2 linked regions of the Tribolium castaneum genome follow. The protein of the gene in region 2 binds, or shares a complex with, the protein of the main gene of each other region. Links are inferred from orthologs where the notes say so. Each region holds a gene or a part of one and is shown on either strand. Other genes may lie near its edges.

Region 1 (10,461 bases), about 32 Mb from region 2:
CAAGTATCAGTCTTTTCCTGTAATAATATGAAAAAAACTACATTTTATTGTTAAACCAGATAATTTTTATACAAAAAATATTAATGTCTTTAAGAAGACTAATTATAATCTTATCTTTAAGACTACCTTATCTCCAAAACGACAATTTAATTATTATTGAAAAAAATATTTTGAATTTTTTGCCTCATGTGTTGGCACAGCTGGAACCTGTCAATTGTCAGCAATTGTGTTTTGAGGTTATGGAAGCAAAAAATTAAATGTATCGTTTAAAATTATTAAAATTTCTGGCACAACAAGCCGTAAAAAGTGGCAAGCCACAAAAAGCAAATACATTGCTAAATATTAAGCAATACCCACACCTGCTAAACTGTAAATTTCGGGAAAATGCCCAAACCGAAGTTCTAACCTCCAACACACGATTATTCTCACATGCTGCAAATATTCCACAAGAAAAAACCGAGCAGGAGTTTTTAGTACGTCTCAAAAATGACCCTGACACCTTTGGCGACCCCGAAGAAAGGGAGGAAATTTACGAAAAAGACCTGGAAGAGGAAAAGGACTGGTCCGAAAAAACAATCCCCTTGAAACGGCAAAGCACAAAACAGTACGCCGACATGATAAAAGCACTGATCAAGCAACACAAAATCAAGGAAGCAATCGACGTGGTTGAGGTGAAAATGATCAAGGAAGACAAAGTCAAGCCAGAAAATTACATCTACAATTTATTAATCGGCGCTTGCGGCCGTGTGGGGTACACGAAAAAGGCGTTTTCTGTCTACAACCAGATGAAAAAACGCGGCTTGAAAATCACAGCTGGCACGTACACAGCGTTGTTCAACGCCTGTGCCAACAGCCCCTGGCCAGAAGACGGCCTAACCAGAGCCCGAAAGCTGCAAAACATAATGATAGAGAAAATGTACGAACCGAACGACACAAATTATCACGCCATGATCAAAGCGTTCGGGCGCTGTGGTGACCTCCCAGCTGCGTTCAAATTAGTTGACGAAATGGCCGCGAAAAAAGTCAAAATCACCGGAGATACGATGAACTTCCTGCTGCAAGCTTGCATCCAGGACAGGGAAGCGGGCTTTCGCCACGCTTTGTTGCTCTGGCGCAAAATGGTAGACAAGCGAATTGCGCCAAACTTGTACACTTACAACTTAATCTTGAGGTGTGTTCGTGACTGCGGGCTTGGTAATTTGGAAGTTACGAACGAAACGTTGCAAATAATTTTAAAAAAAAATCTGCGGTTGAGTGGCGGTGACAATAAATTGTTGCTAGAGGGCTCAAACGATGGCAAATGTTTGATCCAAAGTAACGAATTAGTGGGCGAAGTCGACCATTGCCGCCCGAATCTCATGGCAAGAGTGCCCCATCTAGGGAATATTATTTCGTTGTCTGAAATTACCAAGCCTGAGGATAGGTTGCTGCTAGTTGGGGGTTTGAGGGGTTTTTTGGGGAATATGACGGAGAGTGGTTGCACGCCTGATATTAAGTCGTTTACCCAACTTTTGGACTGCTTACCTGGAAGTGAAGCTGCTGAGAAAGAGCTCTTACGAGAAATGAAAAGACTTGGGGTTAAGCCGGACATTGACTTTTTCAATATGTTGATTAAGAAGAGGAGTATGCGGTTTGATTATGAAAGCGCAAAGGCAGGAATAAATAAAATGAAAATTTCCTGTCTCATTTTGATGATTTTAGGCCGTTTTGAACGACATGAAAAAATATAACTATCGACCAAATTTGATAACGTATGGGGTTTTATCGCTGGGTTGTAAAACTAAAGAAGAGGCTTTAGAATTACTGAAAGAAATGGAAGCACACTCATATAGGTAGCTCAAACATAAAACTTTTTTTTTAAACAGCCCGTAAAGTTGAAATTTTTTGTACCATGCCTTTAATCAAAATTACGTTACTTATCTAATTTGGGGACAAAACCAATTTTTTTACGTATTTTTTCCTCAAAACATCATTTAAGAATCGTTCATTTGACACTAAAGATACTAAAATTTCAACTAATTATTAACACCCTAGTAATATTTTTAATTAATTAAATTAAATAAATGCTGATTTCTGTGTATTCATTAGTTTTTGAGATACAGTAAATATTTTTAGCAGATTTACTCGATTATATAAAGTGTACAGGCGGACAAAATGAAAATGACGCCTGACTAAACATTGATGAATAAAGTTAAACCGATAAGACAGAAAAAAATGATGACATGGTTGTTAAACTTTTCACTAAAAAATTTACATTTTAATTTAACTTGACGTTAATCAGTGCAAAATAAATGGCAACTTAATTGTATTTAATTTAATTCTGAATTAAATTTTAATTTCGCATTCTGTAAACTGACTCCTGAAGGATGTTACCAGCAGGAACTGGTTTATTGAGGCGTAATTTTCACTTTGTTCGACTGTAATTTTGGTTCAACTACTTTAGTGTTTGGAAGTCATATAATTTCTTATAAAAAATTGAAATTGAACATTTTGTGGACGGTTCTGGACCTAAATAATGATATTTGAGTACTTGACGATTTCATTAATTAAATAACTATTTTATAACTTTAGGCTAAATACTGAAATTTTGGGGGCGATGCTGCACCAGGCTTGCTACCACAAAAACTTCCCCTACGTACTTGAAATAATGGAAATTAGTTTGCGAGAGAACGTGAAGCCGAATAAGAAGTTTATGGAATGTTTGCACGATTTTAAAAAGAAGTGCAAAGATATCTCAAATGATAAGGTGATTATTTTTCCATTCAAGATTTTATCACTTAAGCCACTTCAGATTTACTGTCATTGCAATTTTAATTTGTAGGAAAATACATTATCGCAAAGTGGATTTTTCCAAAAGGGATTTAGAATATTCCAGATGAGGTACAAGACGTGGCTGGATGAGGTTGAAGTTGATGATAGTGAAGACGTCCATCCTTGGGCCCAGTTCAGACAGACAAGTGATACAGACAGTAGGCATTACAAGGATAAATCACAGAGGTTTAAAGCCAGACATTTGTCACGATTTAAAGTCAAAACATCAACGAAACGTAAAGGAAACGAACGTTAAATTGTACCTTGTGCTATTTCTTCAGACATGTTGAAATAAAGTCACGAAGCTGTGGTAGCACTGAGGTATGTAGTCACGTGTTAGCATATGCAGAATACATAATCAGCAGAGCGCATGAGTAATTTTGTACCGTGATTTTTATCTACTACTTATTAGATTATTAAAAAAGTTAATTAAAATTTGCAGTTACGTGTTTTGACCAATTCTAATTGCAAATGACTCATGTTTTATTTATCTCTTTGCCACTGTTTTCGAATCGAATGGAACGCACTTATTTCATAAAAAATAAAATATACTCACTTCTGAGCGCAAAAAATTTTAAAATATCTTTTATGCGCATGTGTTGATTAAGACGTGAAACTAACTTGCAATACTTGTTCATTGAGCGAATTTTACACAAATTAGAACTGTGACTACATGAGCAATGCTAAATCATTGTCAAATGCAACATTTTTACAATAAGTGATAAGAGAATTTTTACAATAAAAATTTCGCATTCAAGTATTAAGTCACAACTACGAGTGATTGCTGCTGCTGATAACAAAGCCTCGAATTTTTTCTATGTATTTTTCGGAAACAAGACGGTGTTTCTTTATACAAAAAATGTTTCTCTAAATAAAGTTTCAAAACGGAAAATTTTAAATCTAAGCAAATGAATCAAAATTGTGCGTTGCTAAGGCATTCTATTTCAACTTAATTTTTTTTTGTAATAGTTATTTATTTAATGAGTTTGAGTGTAAATCGGACGCTTTATTTCACGAGTGGATTTTTAAACCACGAGTGAAAACGAGTGGTTTATCATCCACGAGGCGAAATAAATGAACCGATTTACACAAAAACGAGTTGAATACAACATTTTATTCTTCGAAATAGACTCAGCAAGGCTTAAAATTGCTTTAAATTTGTTAAAAATAATCTGACGTTTCGTACTGAGAAATGCCAAACAGTTGTCAAAACTTCCTTACACAGGAGAAAAACCGTAAATTTTGACAGTGTCGAAGAATAAAATAAATTAATCGATTCGGTTACAAATATTTAATATAAAGTTAAACTAATCTGTGAGGGAAAAGGAAACAATTTTGTTTATTATTTTTTATAAAAGTCTAATTTTGCGTTCACGCTTTTGTTGAGAAATAATTTTCTCACTAGTGTTTCCAAAAAGTTAGAAAAATATTAAGTAATAAACTATTTATCCATTTCAGTTGCAAACGAATAATAAACTGAATATAAATGCCTAATTAAACTCAATGATACTTAAAAGATAAAAGAGGTTTAATTGATTTATCTTGCATCAATAAAAAACTTTGTTAAATGATAGTGATCAAAGATAAGGTGAAATTTTTAATACCTGTTCCAAATTTGTATAGACAAAGGTGACTGAGGTGGCTAAGGAAAAAAAGAAAAGTACAGTTATTTTAAGCAATTTTATTCGTTGAGTGCAAAAATTACACCGAATTCTACATTAGAATTTAAGATTGTGAAGCTTCCTGTTCAAATCCTCAAACTTGAGAATTTTCCTTATAAAGAAATCGCCGTATCTGTGCGCCACTTTCGTGTCGGCGATATGAATCATATCATTATCGATGTAGAAATCCAGCTGAAATATTTTTTTACGAAACAAAACCAAAAATTACAAAATGTTACCTCTGAGCCACTCTCCAGCTTCCCTTCCAGCCCCGACGAGCCCTTCGACCACACCACATTCTTCATTTTGTGCTTGAAGCACAACAAATGAATCAAAAGATTCTGCGTCTCCTTATCAACATCAAACTTCCCTTCACTGTTCTTATTCTGCGCCATGAAAGTCGCCAACTTGGCAATGGGCAAAGTGGTGTACAACTTCAAGTAACTTCTAATCGTTGGCAACATTTTTTGTTGCTGGACCTCGTCCATAAAAACTTGAGTTTGGTGGCGGATCGCCTCCTTCGAATAATCATCAGGGATGGAATCCACCGGCGGAGGACACGGCGAAAGAAACTTAGGACAAGCGAAAACGAAACAATTTTCAAACTCCTGGAGGTCCCCATACTGCATCTTGTACATTTTCTCATGGTAGCTTTTCTCTCTCAGAGTTTGCTGGATCGATTCGTCGATACACTGCGGGTGCAAAACCAAGCAAATGGCCAACAAGTGGTACATCTGATCCGTTTGCTTGTTAATCTGGTCGTGCTGATAACTTTTAGAAGCAAACAATTGCTTGGTTCTCTGAATGTACAAGAGAATGGACGAAAACGTGCGAATTGCGTCAGAATAGCGCCTCATCATCATGTACCCAAACCCCACATAGTACGACGTTGAGATCAAGCAAGCCGGGATGTGCGCATACTGCGACTTCTTATGCAGCTCAATGTTTTCCAGCACTTTGATCGACTGGTAGTAGTCCCCGAGCAGAGAGTGAAGCCTCAGAAGCCCAATCAGGGAAAAATAGCCCAACATTTTGTAGAGCGAGTGACTCCCGAACTCGCCGGCCACCGAATCGGGGTCGCCCCCACTGGCGCAAACCTCCAGTTGTTGCTTGATGTTGCTCTTGTCGACCAGAGAATGCAACACGTTCAGAACGCAAAGTACGTTCCACACTTTATTGTGCGAGTTTAGAGTCTCCAGTTCTTGGGCGGTTTTCTTCTGAAGGCGGGCCCGGTATTGGGCGAATGATTGGAATTGGTAGACGAATTCGTCGATTAATTCCCATAGCCACAAGTCGGGGAGTTCTAGAGGCACCGGTTCGTCAGCGCTTAGGATGTAGTTGAAGAGGTCGCAGTAATTGTAGAACGAATTGAAGCGCTGCTCGAGGGTTGGGCCCCCTTGAATGCGCGCGTAAATGTGGCGGAAGTAGAGCTCTTTGTACAGGATCATGAACACCTGCAAGAAGGGTTGCATAGGATATTTCCCGCAAGAAGTAAGTGAAAATAATAATTTTCACGTATTTGTAATCATTGAACCCAAAAAATTAATAATTAATAATGGTAGAGAATTCTATACGTGAACAAAATCAAGCGTTTTCAAATTGGAAGTTATGTTCCTATAAATAGTGTCAAATAACTGAAATACAATTCAAAAATTATATATAGGTTTGGGACAAAATATTAATTGTTAAACGTACGTAATTTAATTTCCCAAGAATGGTGTTCCTTTTTTTGATGACTGTTAGTTGTTTTTTTATTTTGGTTAAAGTTTTCATGTTATAATAAAATTGTTACGTAAGATAAATTTTTGTGTCCCGTCCGTAATCTCACTACTTTTTATATACAGGGTGCTCAAAAACTGGCGCACCAACTCAGTGGTACGTTATTGAGAAGCAAGTGCAGATTACGGGAAAAATGTTGAATAAATTTCTAAAGTTATATTTTAAAAAATCTGGAGCTACAAACTTATTGTGTTAACTTCTTTAGTTTTCATTATTTTTTTATATTTCTATGTTTCATACCAGGTTATCGTTCCGTAACAATACAATGAATAATTATTTTAAAATTTACTATCAGATTTTAGCAGTTTTTTTAATTAAAAAAAATTAAAACTCATCCAAAAAATCACAATGTGTAGATGTGCCAACACTGGGAATTATTTCCTAGGAAACCGTTTCAAAAATAATTTATTTTTATTGTTGCTCAAATTCTATTGCAATCATGACTGTTAGACAACGTTGCCACATATCATTTACCTAAAATTAGTTATTTATCAATAACAGTAATACAAAGATTTTTTTTACTATTTTTACCTTTATATGTAACCAGTTCTCTACCACACACCACTGAGTTGGTGCGCCAGTTTTTGAGCACGCTGTATTTGGTATACACTCCCTCAGTATTACCTGAATCCGTAAAAAAATCATTCATAATATTTCTATTATGAGTAAATATTTTTGTTCTTTCGAAAATATTCACAGATTTTTATACTTATTTTAAACTCAATTTTTATTAGGCGAATACGCGTCCAGTCGGTAATCAATTACTTATAACGATTTTCATTTCAATTAATTTCATCACTTTAAATATTACTATCTTTTTGAAAAAGATAGGCCATTTGAAAATAGAAGTTGACAGAAATATGATTAGTAGATTGTGGAGGTAGTTCCTGGTTAATTTAGTTCATTACATGTTTTTTTTTTTGTTAACTAAATGACTGATTAACGATTTTACTTATTTATGCAACAAAATTCTGTACCTAGGTTTAATTTAAACATTGTTTTTAGGAAAATGCTTGAGGTACCGTCTATTTATTACGATTTATCACTGATTTTCTTATATTTTTAAAAGCATATTTTATTTTTCAAAAGAGAGACGAACAGTTGAATAGTTTTCCCGTTGAGATCTCAATTTATTTATCTTATCATGAGTTTTTAAGGACAACAAATAATCTACTTTGAAGATTCTCACGATTTTTTTGGGCCTAATTAAGACTTTGTATTCAAATTTTCGTTGGTAAATACTCAAAGTTAATTCTTTAGTAAATTGTGAAGACAGTTCTGTTAATTCAGTTGATTATAACATAATTTTTTTTGTTTATGCAATTTACTTGGTTAAGCGTTTTACTTATTTATAGAACAAAAATTCGTTTAATAAGCAAATTTTATGATTTATTTCAAGAAGTCTCAAGCCTCGAGAAAAAATATTATTGGAAATGTATTTGTCTATTATTGACTTTGGTATACTCCTAATTCAAAAAAATGTAGGAAAAAGCTGTTTTATTTATTTTGAAATCGATTACCTTTAAATGAAATGAAATTTAGAATTTCGTCGAAACTGTATAGTATTAGAAAAGATATGACCTTGTAAGCACCTTATTCAAAGTTTATTTTTTGTCGTTAAATCTATTTTTATTTTATTTATTTATTTTTATTTATTTTAATATTATTCATCGCATTATTAAAGTCCAAAACCAAAAGTCGTATTTATTATTATTTTAAACCAATTTTTTTCGCCCATGCTGCGTAAATAAATATTTAAGCAAAAACTTTACAATCAATAGACATCAAAGAATCATAGATATTGAGCGATTTCTTTGTAATTAGGTCGCTTCTGACGTGTCCTTTTGCTAAAGACATAATAAAACCCATTTATGTTCATTTTTCCCTGCTACTGCTTCCAACAGTCGCAATGGAGCATTACAAAAGGCAACTCCTGAGCAAAAAAGAAGAGCTCAAAGAGAAAATCTCTGAAGAACTCAAAGACAAAAGTGAACACGTTAGGGAGAAAATCAAGGACGTCCAAGACATTGGCACAGAAGGTAAAATAATTGATCACGTAAAGGAAAAAATTAAGGATGTCCAGGAGAGTGAAACTGGGGGTAAAATACTAGACCAAGTGAAAGACAAAATCGAGGCGGAAGGTAAAATAGTCATGGATTTACTCACGGGATCACTGTCGACTAGCGCTGACACTTCTGACTCTTCTGGCCAGGGGCGTTTCTCGAAATAATCTTCGGTTAGTTTTGGCCACGAAGTTTCATACAAAGTTTGCAACTCAAAGATTAAACCCTCATTCACGCAATTGCGGAAATAGATTAGGAAGTTTTTGACTATTTCCGGCATCTTTAGGTGCTGTTTATTGTACTCGTTGTCCAAGTTGGGGTCTCCTGTGTGAGCCCCATACTCATCATAGCTGTTGTATTCATAACCCTGAAATAAATGAAAATCAGTGTCCAATTTATTGTCAATTTTGCTGCCACGAATTATGGGAATGGTGCATGCTAAACATGTAGGTCGGTATTATTTCCACACTTTTACAAATAGGCTTGAGACACATGGTTCAATTTGCAAAGCTTTTACTAGAGTTTTATAGAACCCAGTGTAGGTTTAAGGATAAATTGTTCAAGTTTTAGGTGTTTGAAGCACTCACTTGCTCATAATCGTCGGAAAACATTTTGAATTTACTCATTATATGCCTACGCCACTATAGCGAGCAAATGGTCTTGCACTTAACCTCGAAGCCAGTTGACGTTTGACAATTACAAATTACAGGTTTCTACTCGAGGTGGTGCAAGAAATTCCATTTTTTTCTCATTTTCAAAAGTATTTCCGCTGAGTAAGTGAGAAAAATGTTTTAAAATAAAACGATCAATAAACATGATGTTAATCTAAATGCAAATTTACTGAGCCGGTGATTTAACCTCATTCCCCAATTGCTCGTTCGAACAAACCTTGAACTATGAAATCACAAATTTCTTAAATAAAACACAATGATCGGTAGTCAATCTCAGTGAGTGATTAGTGTTCGTAACCGTATGAATAGATATTAAGTAATAAAATGTTTGCCCAAGGATTTACAAGTGGTAATCCCCTGCTTTGTGATGGTACAAATATTATTCTTCATTTTGCAGTTTTACGTAGCTTCCTCAGTTCAGAACCCGCCCCAACCAAAGTGATTGACGCCAAATCAGACGCTTTTTCCGACCGAGCGATTCACCTACGGGAAGATGGATTGGTCCTCTACCTCCCAGCTAATACAGTTGACAAGAAAAAAGGGGCCACTTACGAAATTGTGCTCCATCGCCCGTACACGGAAAGCCTACACCAAACCTACAGGTTTGTGCCCCCGAACACGTCAACTGTTAAAAAAATCAATTTTTAGTTTATACCGCTCGCCAAATCTTGACGAAGCTGAAGTGAAATTTTGTGTCTTGAAGGATAAGTTACCCACGTTTGTTGAGATTTCGAAAGAAGTAATTTGCTGTAGTTGTTAAAAGACGATTATTTGGAATTTTATTTCAGATGTATAATGTGCAAGGTTTGCAAAAGATTTGTGACGTTCTTGCGGAACACCCCTCTTGGAACTTGGCCCATTTGGCGGCGTATTTTAGTCTCTATGATTCTTTTAAAGACTCTAAGATTAACAATTATTTGAATAGTACTGATGATGAAACTGGGATCTCGCCACTACAAGTTGCTATTACCACGAAGAATTTGAAGACGGTGCAAGTTTTGGTTGCTGCGAATGCGTCTTTGGAACATCTCGATTACAACTCTGATTCGGTGTTCCATTACGCCGCTAGCACCACCAAAGATATCATTGCCGTAAGTATTGAATTGTGCAAAATTAGATACGGAAAAGTTGTACATAAGGAATTCTAAAGATTTTTTTCTGACGATTTTAAATACCTTTTTTTAGTTTAACATTTGTAAAGGCCTTGGTCATTTCCATTGAGCATTGTTTCGTTTGTGTTATGTGGAAAATATCAAATATTACACTAGAGTATAGAAAAATTCCATTGAACTAGTAAATAATAAAAAACGAGAACACATTTATAAAGTTCATAGGTCAAACGTTGACATTTTATTTACGAGATGTTTATTTCTATTAAAACCTACTAGAGACAAACAAAGTTATCAGTTTACCTAATAAGTAATCACTAGTTTTAGGGAACCTAATTTTATCAATGAATGGATTGTACTCGTATTA
Region 2 (11,569 bases):
GGTCTTTTCCTCTTGAAAAATATTATCTAACAATAATGATACTGTTTCAGCTCTAAAAACCCAACAAAAAATTTTTTAACTAATAATTTTTTTCAACTCTTACGATTCTAGTGTATTAAGTAGTGGATCCGGATCAACTCTTTCCGATGAATTTCTTTGAGTATCACGAGCTGCTTTGATAAAATCACACAATAATTGAGCAACATTATAGTGCCTTTCTTTGTCAATTTTCGGATTTAAAAGACAAACCAACGACTGCATTATTCTCTGACTATCAAGCCACTACAAAATAAAAACACCAATTCTCAAAATTATAATTAAAAAAAATTTTTTAATGCTCACATTGAGAATATTTTGTCTCATTTCGAGGCTTTCAACCTGTGTCATAAGCTTGAGCATGAGATCCATGATAGCGGAAGTGCCTAAATGTTTGAGCAGTAATGATATAAAGGTGTCCTTAGTTTTTAAAAAATCTAGAACCTGTAAGCAAGTGAACTGATAGGACAACCAGTTCTGGTGGACGGAAGGAGCGAAGACGTGGTGATGGGAAAGGCGCGGAAAAAAAAGGAGAAAAAAATATGTTACATATCGTACAGTAATCAAACATTAGCACATATAACAACACATTGATTGTTAACATTTCATTTTTCCTTATTTCATCTTACATGAGACTGGAATTAAGTTCATGGCAACAATGATTGGTGCCAACTTAATTTCAAATAATTGCACACATCTTCAAACATTTCCACAGAATGATTCAATTTTTCGTATCTTCAGGTAATTTATTTCTAACAAATTATGGCAACCTTGAAATCAGACAGTCCTACTAACAGTTGAAGCAGTAATCACGTGATTATAAGTAATTTCACTAAAACTGTCTCTTTTTTAGAAATAATAAAAACGTGTTAAAAAACGCCTTTTTCTTGATAAATACTTGAAGCATTTTGTGAGAAATAATAATAATAATATCTTTAGTTTTGACTCGAAAACGAGTTAAAACGCTAAAAAATTATAAACAAATTTTTATGTAATTTAAACAAATAAGAAATTAAAGTAATCTTCACACTTAAAATTTTTAGAGGAAAAAAATCATAACTGAAAAACAAAAAGTCGTAGAGAAAAACGGTTTGTTCCAGGGAAACGCACAAATAGTATTTATTTATATTACATTATAAGAGTTATAATTTGTTACAAATTATCAAATGAGATGTCTTGCTAAAAACCCAAAGTATGTATGTTAATTTTTATTATTTTTTAATTAAAAAATTAAGTGTGATTTGAACAAATACATTAGTGTTAACGTGTGAAAAAATCGTTAATCGTCCAACAGTGTGACACTTGAAACGGTTAAAAAAGTACGAATCCTTCAAATAATTCATTTTAAATACATGAATGAGTCACCTTTGATAAGAAACAATTAATTTAAATGAATGATTGTTGGTAACACTGAATTCATAGCCGCCCTTGACAAATAAATTGAATCATTCTGAATGAATTAATTAAAAAAATAAATTAAATAATTAGTGTTGCTTACCTGCTCAGTCTTTCTGGCAATAAGTGCACCCATAATTCTACTAAAGTAGGAAGCTAAGAGTGGGTTTAAGGGCGGCTCACACTCTAAAAAACTGTACAGCTTATCAAGCAGTACTTCGTCACTAGCCAGCCTCTCGTTAATTGAAGGAACATCAGATGTAAGTAATTCACACGCAATGTTTGGGTACTTGAACCTAACTCTTTCGTCCAATTCGTTGGAAGGCTCACGTGTTACAAGACTTACAAGCTCTTCCATCATTTCGGGCTTCAAAAGACTGCCAATTTTTCGATTAAAATATTGTTAAGTCTGCTTGATTTATTTATACAGGTTGTTCCGTCTAAACCCCACATTAATAAAAATACTTAGCTGAATACTTAGTTGAGTTATTTTAAGGCCGTTTTAATCAGCTTACCTTATACCCAAGTCTAACGGCTTTCGAAATATTTAAGATTTTTTGAAAATTTTTGGATTTGCACCTGTCGCTTAAAAAATCGGTAACTTTCTTAGTTTTAGAGATTTGGAAATCATATTTAGAGAATTAAAAGAGAAGGTGTTTATCTGTTCTCCAGTGTGTTCAAAATTGGAAAAGAAGTTAACAAACCCAAAAATTTTATGTTTAAGTTTGGACAATTTCAAGTACCCATAACTTAATTTTTTCAAATGGGATGTCCCAATTTTTATTTACTAGATATTGTAGAATTTTTTCTGCAACGATCTGTATAAGCATTTCCCATATTTATCTGTGATAATTTTCAAGTTATGTTGTTTTTCTTGATATTGTAAAAAATTTCTTACTAACCACAGCTATTTTTGCATAGTTTGCCATAAAAACATTTCTGATTAAACAAACAACAAAATTGTGTTCACCGTCCTGTGAAAACAAAATAAATTTATAAAAAAAAAACTTTAATTTTTCACATTTTTTCTCTCGTTGCCATGGCAGCCTATATGGAAATTTCTCAATCCCTACAAAAAGTTATTGTAACTTGAAAACTATTAAACATAAGTATAGGGAATGCTAATACAGATCGATGCAGAATTAAATTCTTTACGATTTAATGAAATAAAACTTGTGGCATTTCATTTGATAAAATTGAGTTATGAGTGCTTAAAGTTCAGCAAACTTAACTTTAAAAATTTGGGTTTTATTATTTTTTTTTAGAAATTTCAGAACACCAAAGGAAAGATCTAGACTTCCTCTTTCAAATGAGCTAAATAATATTACCAAATTTTAAAAAATATTTATAACCAACTAGATTTTACTCAAAATTTGATATAATTTTCCATTTATAACGAACTTTTCACCGAATTCTGGGGAATATGTTGGGGATGATAATGAGAAATTAGCAAGAGAAGTGTTAATTAATGAACAAATTATTGAATTACTGACTGATTGTTGTGCAAAATAATATTTTATGATAGAAGAGTTAAAAAAAGTCAAAATAAACCACCTTGTTTTATCTAACTTTTGAAACATAGCACTTTAGCGACTAAAAATTCGTACAAATAACGCAATATCAACTAGGTTTTACCTCTTTTGAGTACTTTTTTCGAAAGTTTACATGACTAATGGGATTATTTTTGAATGAAATTTTGGAAGCTAATAGTTCTGTAATCGTACCAAATCTCATTTAGAAAAAAAGTAAAAAATCTCTAATTCAGACAGTAAACAAAATTCAAGATGACTATAAGTACATTCAGATCACGCAAGTTGAGTTATTTTCACTTCTTTTGAGCTGTACTACCACCCCTTAATGAAATTTTCAAATGACCAAGTGGGGTTTAGACGGAACCGCCTGTAGACTTACAAGTCGATCAAGCCCTTGCTTTGCGCTTTGCACTGGTTGATGATGTCTTCAGCGTCCATCACCTCCGACAACGTGACGTCCTGTAAAACCGCAATCAGGGGGTTTCCACAACTCCATGGGGGTTTTACCTGTTTGGCGAGCAGGGCGTCGAGCTCCGACGACGAATTGTTGTTGTATTTCCAAAACATGGTAATTTCTGCAACGCAATGTCAAAAATGACGTGATTTGTGACAGTTTTTTACCTTTTTCGTGACTCTAGAGACGTTGGGTTAGGTTCATCTGAAATGACCTTTGTTATCAAACGCTTGGTTAAATGCACACTTTACACAGATACGGCTAGCGATAATAAACAGCATATCACAAATTTCATAGTAATTAAGACGAGCTTCAGGTAAAACACGCAATTTATTCGGTTGGTTGCAACACTTTTAGACAATAATATAAATGACAAAAATGACCACCATCTAATCCCACAATGCACTTGTTGATCGAGGGGGAAATGACAGAACGTGGCGCCAAATTCAAATTCAAACTTTCAACTGGCTTCCGTGAATTATTTGAAATCGGACAATATTGCGTTTTGGACTCTTTTTTCCAAAAATCCACTTTTTCATTTTGTAAGAAATTGTTATTTGTCGATTTTGCTCAGTTTATGAAATACATAGTTTAATTTTTTTGCCAACAAAGAACAGATTATTGACAGATTCGAACGTTTCAGAATTAAAAACTACTCTTTTTTTGGCCATATAGTAATAAAAGTGAGTCAAAAATTACGTAATTAGATCCAAAATTACTTTCTGTTTCGAAAGATTGCATTGAAAAAACAAAACAATTTTTACATTTTTTAACTGTTATGGCACGTCGTTAAAGTATAATAAAAGTTTATCTTGTTTTGCAAATTCTCGCTTAAAGAAACGAAAAACACATTATTTCTCTGCTTTTTGATAAGATTCTAGCTTAAATCTCATTTTAAATTAAATTAAATTAAATTCACCGACTAATCGCACGGTTGATTGAAATTTTTGTTATAAAATAAAACGAGCCAAAAAAATCTAATTTTAAATTTCCCGCTTTCGCTGTCTCACAGTTGCCGCACAACAACAAACCACTCATCTTGAAACCACCCAATGAAATCGAGTTGGCTTGACATCATTTGTTTCAAAGCGTCTTTTCCTTTAGTTTTTTGTGTTGAAAAAGCAGTGTTTTGTGCGTATTTAGTGCCAAAATGACTAAAATTAACGTTTTGTTCAAAATGTGACATCACAGAAGTCACAGCCAACGCATTTTGGACGCCACTTTTTGGAAGCCACAAAATTGAGGTTAGTAATTTTTCAGTCTCAAAAAACACAAAACGTAACTAAATGCAGTAATACGGAGCTGAAAATTTCATTATTTTTGCTTTTTCGAATGTTTTAGTTACATTTCACAAGTTGGAAGCGCCGGAATAAAATTTACCAAAATTATTTTCGTAATTAAATTTCAGTTTCAAACGAACGAAAAACACATTAACAAGGGCTTTATTTGTGTATTTTCTGTCAAAAAGTCAAAAAGCTATGACAGATAAATCCATAAAATCCGGGTTTTTGTTAAAAAAAAACAGAACATAGTTAGGTATTTTATTTTGGAATACTCTGTATACAGATTAAAATATTTTTAGAACGTGCCTAATAAGTCTTACAATAGTAAACCTAGCGTTTCAAAAAAATTCAACTTGATAGCTTGCATAGAAAAAAAGTTATGGAGCACCTGTATAATCATTATTTAAAATCATTGCTCCGAAAACTTAGACTTGGACGTAATCTAGGAACAAAAACAACCAAACTGTTTTATTAAAAAATTTATTAATACCAGCTATCCATTTAATAATCGAAATTATACTCAAAATATGACGAATCGAAATTATGCACTCTCACATAACCATCTTCACCTCCTGAACTATAACTCTTGCCATCTGGATGAAACGCCACACTATTAATCGGCCCAAAATGCCCTTTAACCCTCCCAAACTCTTCTTCAAACACCATATGGAAAAACCTCGAGTCAAATTTCCCAACCCTTGCCGACGTGGTTGTCACATCCATGGCATCTTGCCCTCCGCCCACAACCACATGCTCAAAAATGGGGCTAATGGCAGCTGAATTAACCGGCCGTTCTGTCTTGTAAGTCTTCAGTAACATCAAATCAGCAGCGTCGAACAGTTTAGCTGTGTGGTCTTTGGACGCTGTCACAAACATTGTCCCGTCTTTATTCCACTGCATATCGTTGATTAAATGTTCGTGTTCACGTGTTGAACTGATCTCTTTGCCTGACTTCAAGTCCCACTTGATCAAATCCCCGTTTTCGTGCCCGGTTATTATAGTTTCGTCCAGGTTATCCCATAGGATTGACGAAACACGGGAACCTTTAATCGGGATGCGTAAAATGGGGTCGGCGTGCGAGATGCTTTCGTCCACGTTACGGACGTCAATAATGAAGATCTCGCAGTTGTGTTTGAGGGCTTTGTCGGTGGTGTACACTGCCATGTTGCCCGAGTAGCTAAACAGACACGTTCGGACTGATGAATTGGTTGAGATGTTCCCGATTTCTTTGCCCGTTTCACAGTCCCATACTTTAAGGGTGTTGTCACCGGCACCTGACAGGAACCTATAAAGTTTAAATAGTTTAAAAAGTAGCAAAATAGGTGATATTTCTGGTCTAAGTAGTATTTGATTAAATCAGTAAAAGCAAATTAATCAAAACTTGTACAGGGTGTCTCACCTAAAACTTTCGAGATTAATATCTGTTTTATTAATTTTAATTTTAAAATTACGATTTTAAGACTTCAGTTTTTGCATTAATTGGATTTTAATCTTTACTTTCCTAAATATCTGCATTTTAATTTTCATAAAAATACGTTGACAAATAACTGAGATATCAGGCTCAAAAGTATTAGGTGAGGCACCCTGTATATTCGCTACTGAGGCAACCTTATCGCGCACCCATTTGCTTTATTGCAGCAATAAATTTATTATTATTATTAACCTAGTGGTGGTCCAGTCGACGTCGATGCACCAGACAGCCCCCTGGTGGCCGTTGAAGGTTCCCAACCTCTCGCCATTAAGGGAGTACCAAACGTTGGGTTTGTTGTCCTTTGAGGAGGAGAAGAGGAGGTCGCCCTCACGGTTGTACTTGATTTGGGTGATGGCACGTTCGTGGCCGTGGAGTAGAAGGGGTTTCTGTGGGGGTTTTGAGGTTAAATTTAAGCGAACAATATGTGGGTGAAATTGTGGGGTAATGTAATGTTTTACGGTTGTGGGGCGTTTTTTTCGATTGATTGTGAGTCGTTACTTACCATTTTGTTAAAAAACTGGGCGTTTTTTTAAGGATTTTAATGATTAAACACGCTTTTTTTGACGGTTGTTTGACAGAAGAGGTGTCAAAATTAACTGTCATGGTGGGTTGTGCAGTGGCGGGGTTAAGTCAGTGCCGGCTCAGGTGAAATAACCGTATTGTCAAAATTAACTGATAAATGGCGTTATTGCCATTTTGGCAATTTTTAGCAGTTGGGAAAAATATGTAATAAAATTAACTGTGATTATTGATTAAAAACTCTTTGGGCCTTTACTGATTTTTTTTTTTAATTATTATCTTTACAAACTTAATCTTTTAAAATAATATTTCATTGTAGCGATTTTGTTTATTTTTGTATGAAATAAAGGGCTTTTGGCAGTAAAAAAATTAAGTAGAGCCATTAATTTAAGACCTTGGGACCTTACAATCTTTTTTTTATCTCAACTTTTTAAACTTTATTTTTTCAACTCCCTTTTCGTGTTTTAATTTTTGTAGGAAGCAAAGCCTGATGATGGGAATTTGATTGTAAAAAAAATTAAGTGTGGATAAATATTCCCTGGGGCCTTACCTATTTTTTTTTCTTTTTTTTTTGGAAAATATTTTAATTTTTCAAACATTATTTTTTAACCCCCTTCCCATTTATTGATTTTGTTCAATTCTGCAAGGAATATATAGCCTAGCCATGAGACTTTCGACTGTAAAAAAATTAATTGATGACAAACATTCTGCTTACTGAATGTTTTTCTTTTGTTTTTTTGCAAATGTTTTACTTTTTAAACTTCATTTTTTTCAACCGGCTTTCCGTACTGCAATTTTGTTTATTATTGCAGGAAATAAAGCTCTTGGATAGTGTTCGACTGTAAAACAATCAAGTGGAGGTAAACACTCTTTAAAACCTAACAGATTTTTTCTTTTTATTTTCAAAATTATTTTGAATTTTAGAACTTAATTTTCGCAACGCTTTTACCGTGTAAATAATAAATATTTTTGCTAGTAATAAAGCGCTCCAGTAGGGCCTTGGCTTGTAAAAAAATGAAGTGGGGACAAATATTCCTTGTAATCTTATTGAATTTTTTTTCTTTTTTTCTTTTTTGAAAACTCCTTGACTTTTCAAACTTTATTTTTTCAATCTCCTACCCGTGTAGCGACTTTGTTAATTTTTGCAAGAACGCGTCCTACTGATTTCAGCAACTGTAAACTAAAGAAACAAAATGGGGATAAACACTTTTTTTCGAAATATGTACAGGGTGTAATAAAAAACAAAGAAACTAAAGATTTAATCCAACTTTAACTTACCTTTATATCAAGTCGCACATTTTAAAAGTTAAAGCCAAAGTTTTTGCTTGCTTAATAAAAAAAACTCCAATTAAAATCTGAACAAGAATTTTATTGTAAAATAACACAATACTCTAAATATTTACATACAATTGCGTCAATTTGTAATGAAAAAAAATCCAACTACTGAATAACATGAAATTTAGTTGCCCTTGAGTAGATTGCCTTTACTTGTTATCAACGAAGGACCCTTGTAATAACGAACCAAAAGACTAGACCCTCTTTTCAATTGATTACGACTCGACAAATCATTCCAACAATCAATCCAAGTGTTGTAGTGCAACATATAAGGGGGCGATCCAGCCAACAAACCCGAATTCGAGACAGCCATGCAATTTGACACCACTTGGAAGGGGTACATTATTGATGAGGACACCATCTGCGAAATGTGATTCTTGAACAACAAATACTATAAATGGTTTAGTTATTTTTTAGTCAAAATATTGGCAACAGTGCGGCCATAATCTCTGTGTTTTGAAAAAGTGCATTGTTGACCTTTGAAATTATTTTCAAGTGTACAGACTTTTTCCAGATATGAGTTACTTTTATAAAAAATACTTTTCAATAATATAGGACTTTTTCAAATCGCTGGGACAATATTTCATTGAATGACAGTCGGGCTCACCAACTGTGTTTTTTTTTAAATTCACTTACACACACAGCGGCTGAAGTATAATTTTGTATTTCCTTCTCTTCTATTAGATACTTATTGACAACATAAGTCAGACTGCTTGCCAACAAAACGGACAAAATATCCCCAATCAGTCTGGGTATGAGTCCGCTGAAAAAACCCAAAATTCCATTCTGTCTGTATATTTCACCAATGGAACCAAACACACCCCTGTAAACCCCCCAAAAATAATAATCTCCCCTAAAATCGAATACAGTAAACTAAACTTACACATATTTGGCTTCTTTTCCAACAAATTGTGCCATAATTCGTATAGTGATGACGTGAAACGGCTGACTGATGATTATGGCTGTTGTATGTGTAATGATATCGCCCTTGAGACACTTCAAAAATTTCTGTTTTCGATTTTCCTCAACATCTGTATCCTCTTCTTCGTCCTGCTGGTTCAAGTCCAAATATTCCATCATTTTTTGTGTAGCGACAAGATTTATCAAACTGCCGCATACTTTGGGGCCCAAGCCGCGATAACAACCCGACAAACCATCGACCGACTTGATGTGTTTGACTGTAATAAGGGGGCTGTTTATTTTCGGTTAAAAATTCGGGGGGTTTACCGTATTGGAAGATGTTTGGCAGTTTGAGGGCTGGTTTACCGAGCAGGGTTTTGGACGAGTGAGGCGGTATGGGTTCGTATCCGATCTGCAATGAGACAATCAGAATTTTCGCTCGATTTTCACCACAATTTCCTAACCTGTATGAGCACTTTGGCGTATTCGAATGGGTGCGATAAGGTGTTGAGGAAAATGCGAAGTCCGTATCCTGACCATTTGTTTTCGTTGTCTTTGACGACTTTCATCGTGGGTTTGTTTTTGGAAATTTTGGGAAATTGGTGAGACTTGGACACGATTTGATTTCTGTCAAAAGTGGGCACAACTGTCAATTGTGCCAACTGGGATCGCTTATCTTTTTGTGCGTGATAAACTGATAAAAAATGAAGAAAAGGCGGGTTTTGGGAGGATTATTTTTGTGTTTTTTTAAATAAATGTAATTGCAAATGTTCACGGTTGAAATAATACCGGCCGGTGTCTTACATAATACGAGGGAAATTTAAAAATTGTATTTTTTGTGCGTGTTAGGCAACCAGTTATACAAGACTGTTAAAAATACAATGTTTGATTGGAATGTAATGATTATTTAATACAACGTCTTACCTTATTTGTTTTTGGCTTTGAATGTTCCCGCTGTTTATTTAACACCCTAAAATTTGTTTAATGTTTTTTTTGTCTTATTTAAATACAAATTCACTTCTTACCTTGTTTGTGTAAGGGATGGTGAAGCTCAATTCTGTATGGTTAAGATGTGATTTTTTTTTTAATTTAATAACTTATTTCAAGACCAAGTTATACAGTACGAGTATATTAAAAAAACACTTATTTTTATTTTTTTATTTTTTTTAATTTAAAGATGAGTACGCCACGCAAAAAAGGCACAAAAACTGTTATCGCCGGTACGCCGTACTTATGTGCAGATTAGTGTGTTGTTAGTTCGGCTTTGATTCGTGTGTTAGTGGATCATTATCATGAAAAATCAAACAAATCCTGAAATGACCGATATGATTCTGTGTTACGGAAGTGCAGATGGACTTTCTGAACATTTTTTATAACTGTAAGTAGAAAGAGTATTTTTTATTTGGAGTTTTTGCTTCACTTCACTTCACTTAAATAATTTTTCCGAGGCCAACTACTTTAAAATATTTTAAATATATTTTTTATCAATATAAAAATATCAAGCTGTATTTATATTGTTTTCAGTTCAAAAAAAAAGCTTTTCGAAAATGTCATAGCCAACTAAGATTCCTATTTAAAAATATACAACTTTACATTATTGAACTTAAACGAACTGTTAAAAAAAATCTCTGATAACATTACTAAATTCTACGTAAAAAAGTGCCTCTATAATGTTTTTGTTTCAAATGTATATCTTTTATAATAAGGATGATATGAATTGTTTAAGATTTCGCTAAAACATCAACTTTTGTTTATAAGTCGAAAACAAAAGATTATTGTGTAAATTAGATGAAATAACTATGACATTTTGCTGTCCCAAAACTTTGTGAAACCAAGTAGAAAACATTTTTAAATGATCGCTTGAGTTACTGTTTTCTTAATAAACAGGGAAAAAGGGGAAGATGAAATAAATGCAATTCAAGAAGAAGTAATTTTAATTTTATTACAAACAAAGAACACAAATAAATAGTCAAGTTTTACGTTATAACCTTTTTTTTCTCGAAGATTCGAAATATTAGAGCTTTATATTAGCATTCAAAGCTTCAGTGAAATGTTTTTGCAATATCAGAGATGGCCGCTTTCGACCCAAAAACAACAGCAAGCAACGCCATACAAACAACGACCAAATGTTTAAACAATTTCCAATAAAACTTCCCAAATCCCTGATCCCAAAACGTAAATATTTCGATAATCACAGGACATACAAGTCCCAAAATCGAGAAACAAAACGCTCCGATTAAACCGACAAACGGTACAATGGCAGGCACTAGAATCGCAATTATGATATTTATCATCACAAGAATAGTTCTTAGGGCGTAATTAGCAAGTGCTGTTTTGGTGGTGAAACGGTGCTTGATTTCGGTCCAGAAAATGTCCAAACACACGTAAAACACTAGACCGTAAGTGAAGAATACTGCAAGGCCGATAAGGAGATTCACAGCTTGGGCAGCACTGAAATAAATTTTTTTTAGCACTTTTTCAAAAAGTATTAACAATTTGTTAAAAAAACTGGTTACATATTTGAAATCTTTTGATAATTTTGTACCAAAAATACTTTTTCTCTTCAGTTTGTTGATTTTTGTGGCCTTCAACATTATAATTCCAGTGGTAGACAGTGCTCAAAAGTCAAAAATTACGGTTGTAT

What was found. Proteins that work in one complex are often made in the same cells at the same time.
Region 1: eIF3i (region 2) and eIF3l share a complex: the UniProt entries of both Drosophila melanogaster proteins name them as parts of the eukaryotic translation initiation factor 3 (eIF-3) complex. The link is inferred for Tribolium castaneum from reciprocal best matches to the Drosophila melanogaster genes eIF3i and eIF3l.

The regions. Positions count from the first base shown.
Region 1 is NC_087394.1:32,520,376-32,530,836, forward strand, and holds eIF3l (eukaryotic translation initiation factor 3 subunit L), read right to left. Parts: upstream 9,025-10,461; 5' UTR 8,941-9,024; coding exon 8,902-8,940; intron 8,765-8,901; coding exon of another isoform or gene 8,737-8,764; exon of another isoform or gene 8,682-8,736; coding exon 8,418-8,681; intron 8,291-8,417; coding exon of another isoform or gene 8,161-8,290; exon of another isoform or gene 7,906-8,160; intron 5,927-7,905; coding exon 4,712-5,926; intron 4,665-4,711; coding exon 4,530-4,664; 3' UTR 4,478-4,529; downstream 1-4,477. Other genes in the region: pentatricopeptide repeat-containing protein 1, mitochondrial, read left to right, coding at 258-1,652, 1,702-1,832, 2,572-2,746, 2,822-3,067; iPLA2-VIA (85/88 kDa calcium-independent phospholipase A2), read left to right, coding at 8,161-8,290, 9,383-9,587, 9,634-9,724, 9,774-10,076. UniProt on the Drosophila melanogaster protein: Component of the eukaryotic translation initiation factor 3 (eIF-3) complex, which is involved in protein synthesis of a specialized repertoire of mRNAs and, together with other initiation factors, stimulates binding of mRNA and methionyl-tRNAi to the 40S ribosome.
Region 2 is NC_087394.1:743,807-755,375, forward strand, and holds eIF3i (eukaryotic translation initiation factor 3 subunit I), read right to left. Parts: upstream 6,802-11,569; 5' UTR 6,677-6,801; coding exon 6,674-6,676; intron 6,558-6,673; coding exon 6,364-6,557; intron 5,986-6,363; coding exon 5,202-5,985; 3' UTR 5,165-5,201; downstream 1-5,164. Other genes in the region: fmt (serine/threonine-protein phosphatase 6 regulatory subunit 3), read right to left, coding at 1-52, 104-282, 343-513, 1,535-1,808, 3,343-3,422, 3,471-3,530; mitochondrial carrier homolog 2, read right to left, coding at 8,150-8,416, 8,662-8,848, 8,909-9,203, 9,253-9,337, 9,390-9,494; proton-coupled amino acid transporter-like protein pathetic, read right to left, coding at 10,968-11,376. UniProt on the Drosophila melanogaster protein: Component of the eukaryotic translation initiation factor 3 (eIF-3) complex, which is involved in protein synthesis of a specialized repertoire of mRNAs and, together with other initiation factors, stimulates binding of mRNA and methionyl-tRNAi to the 40S ribosome.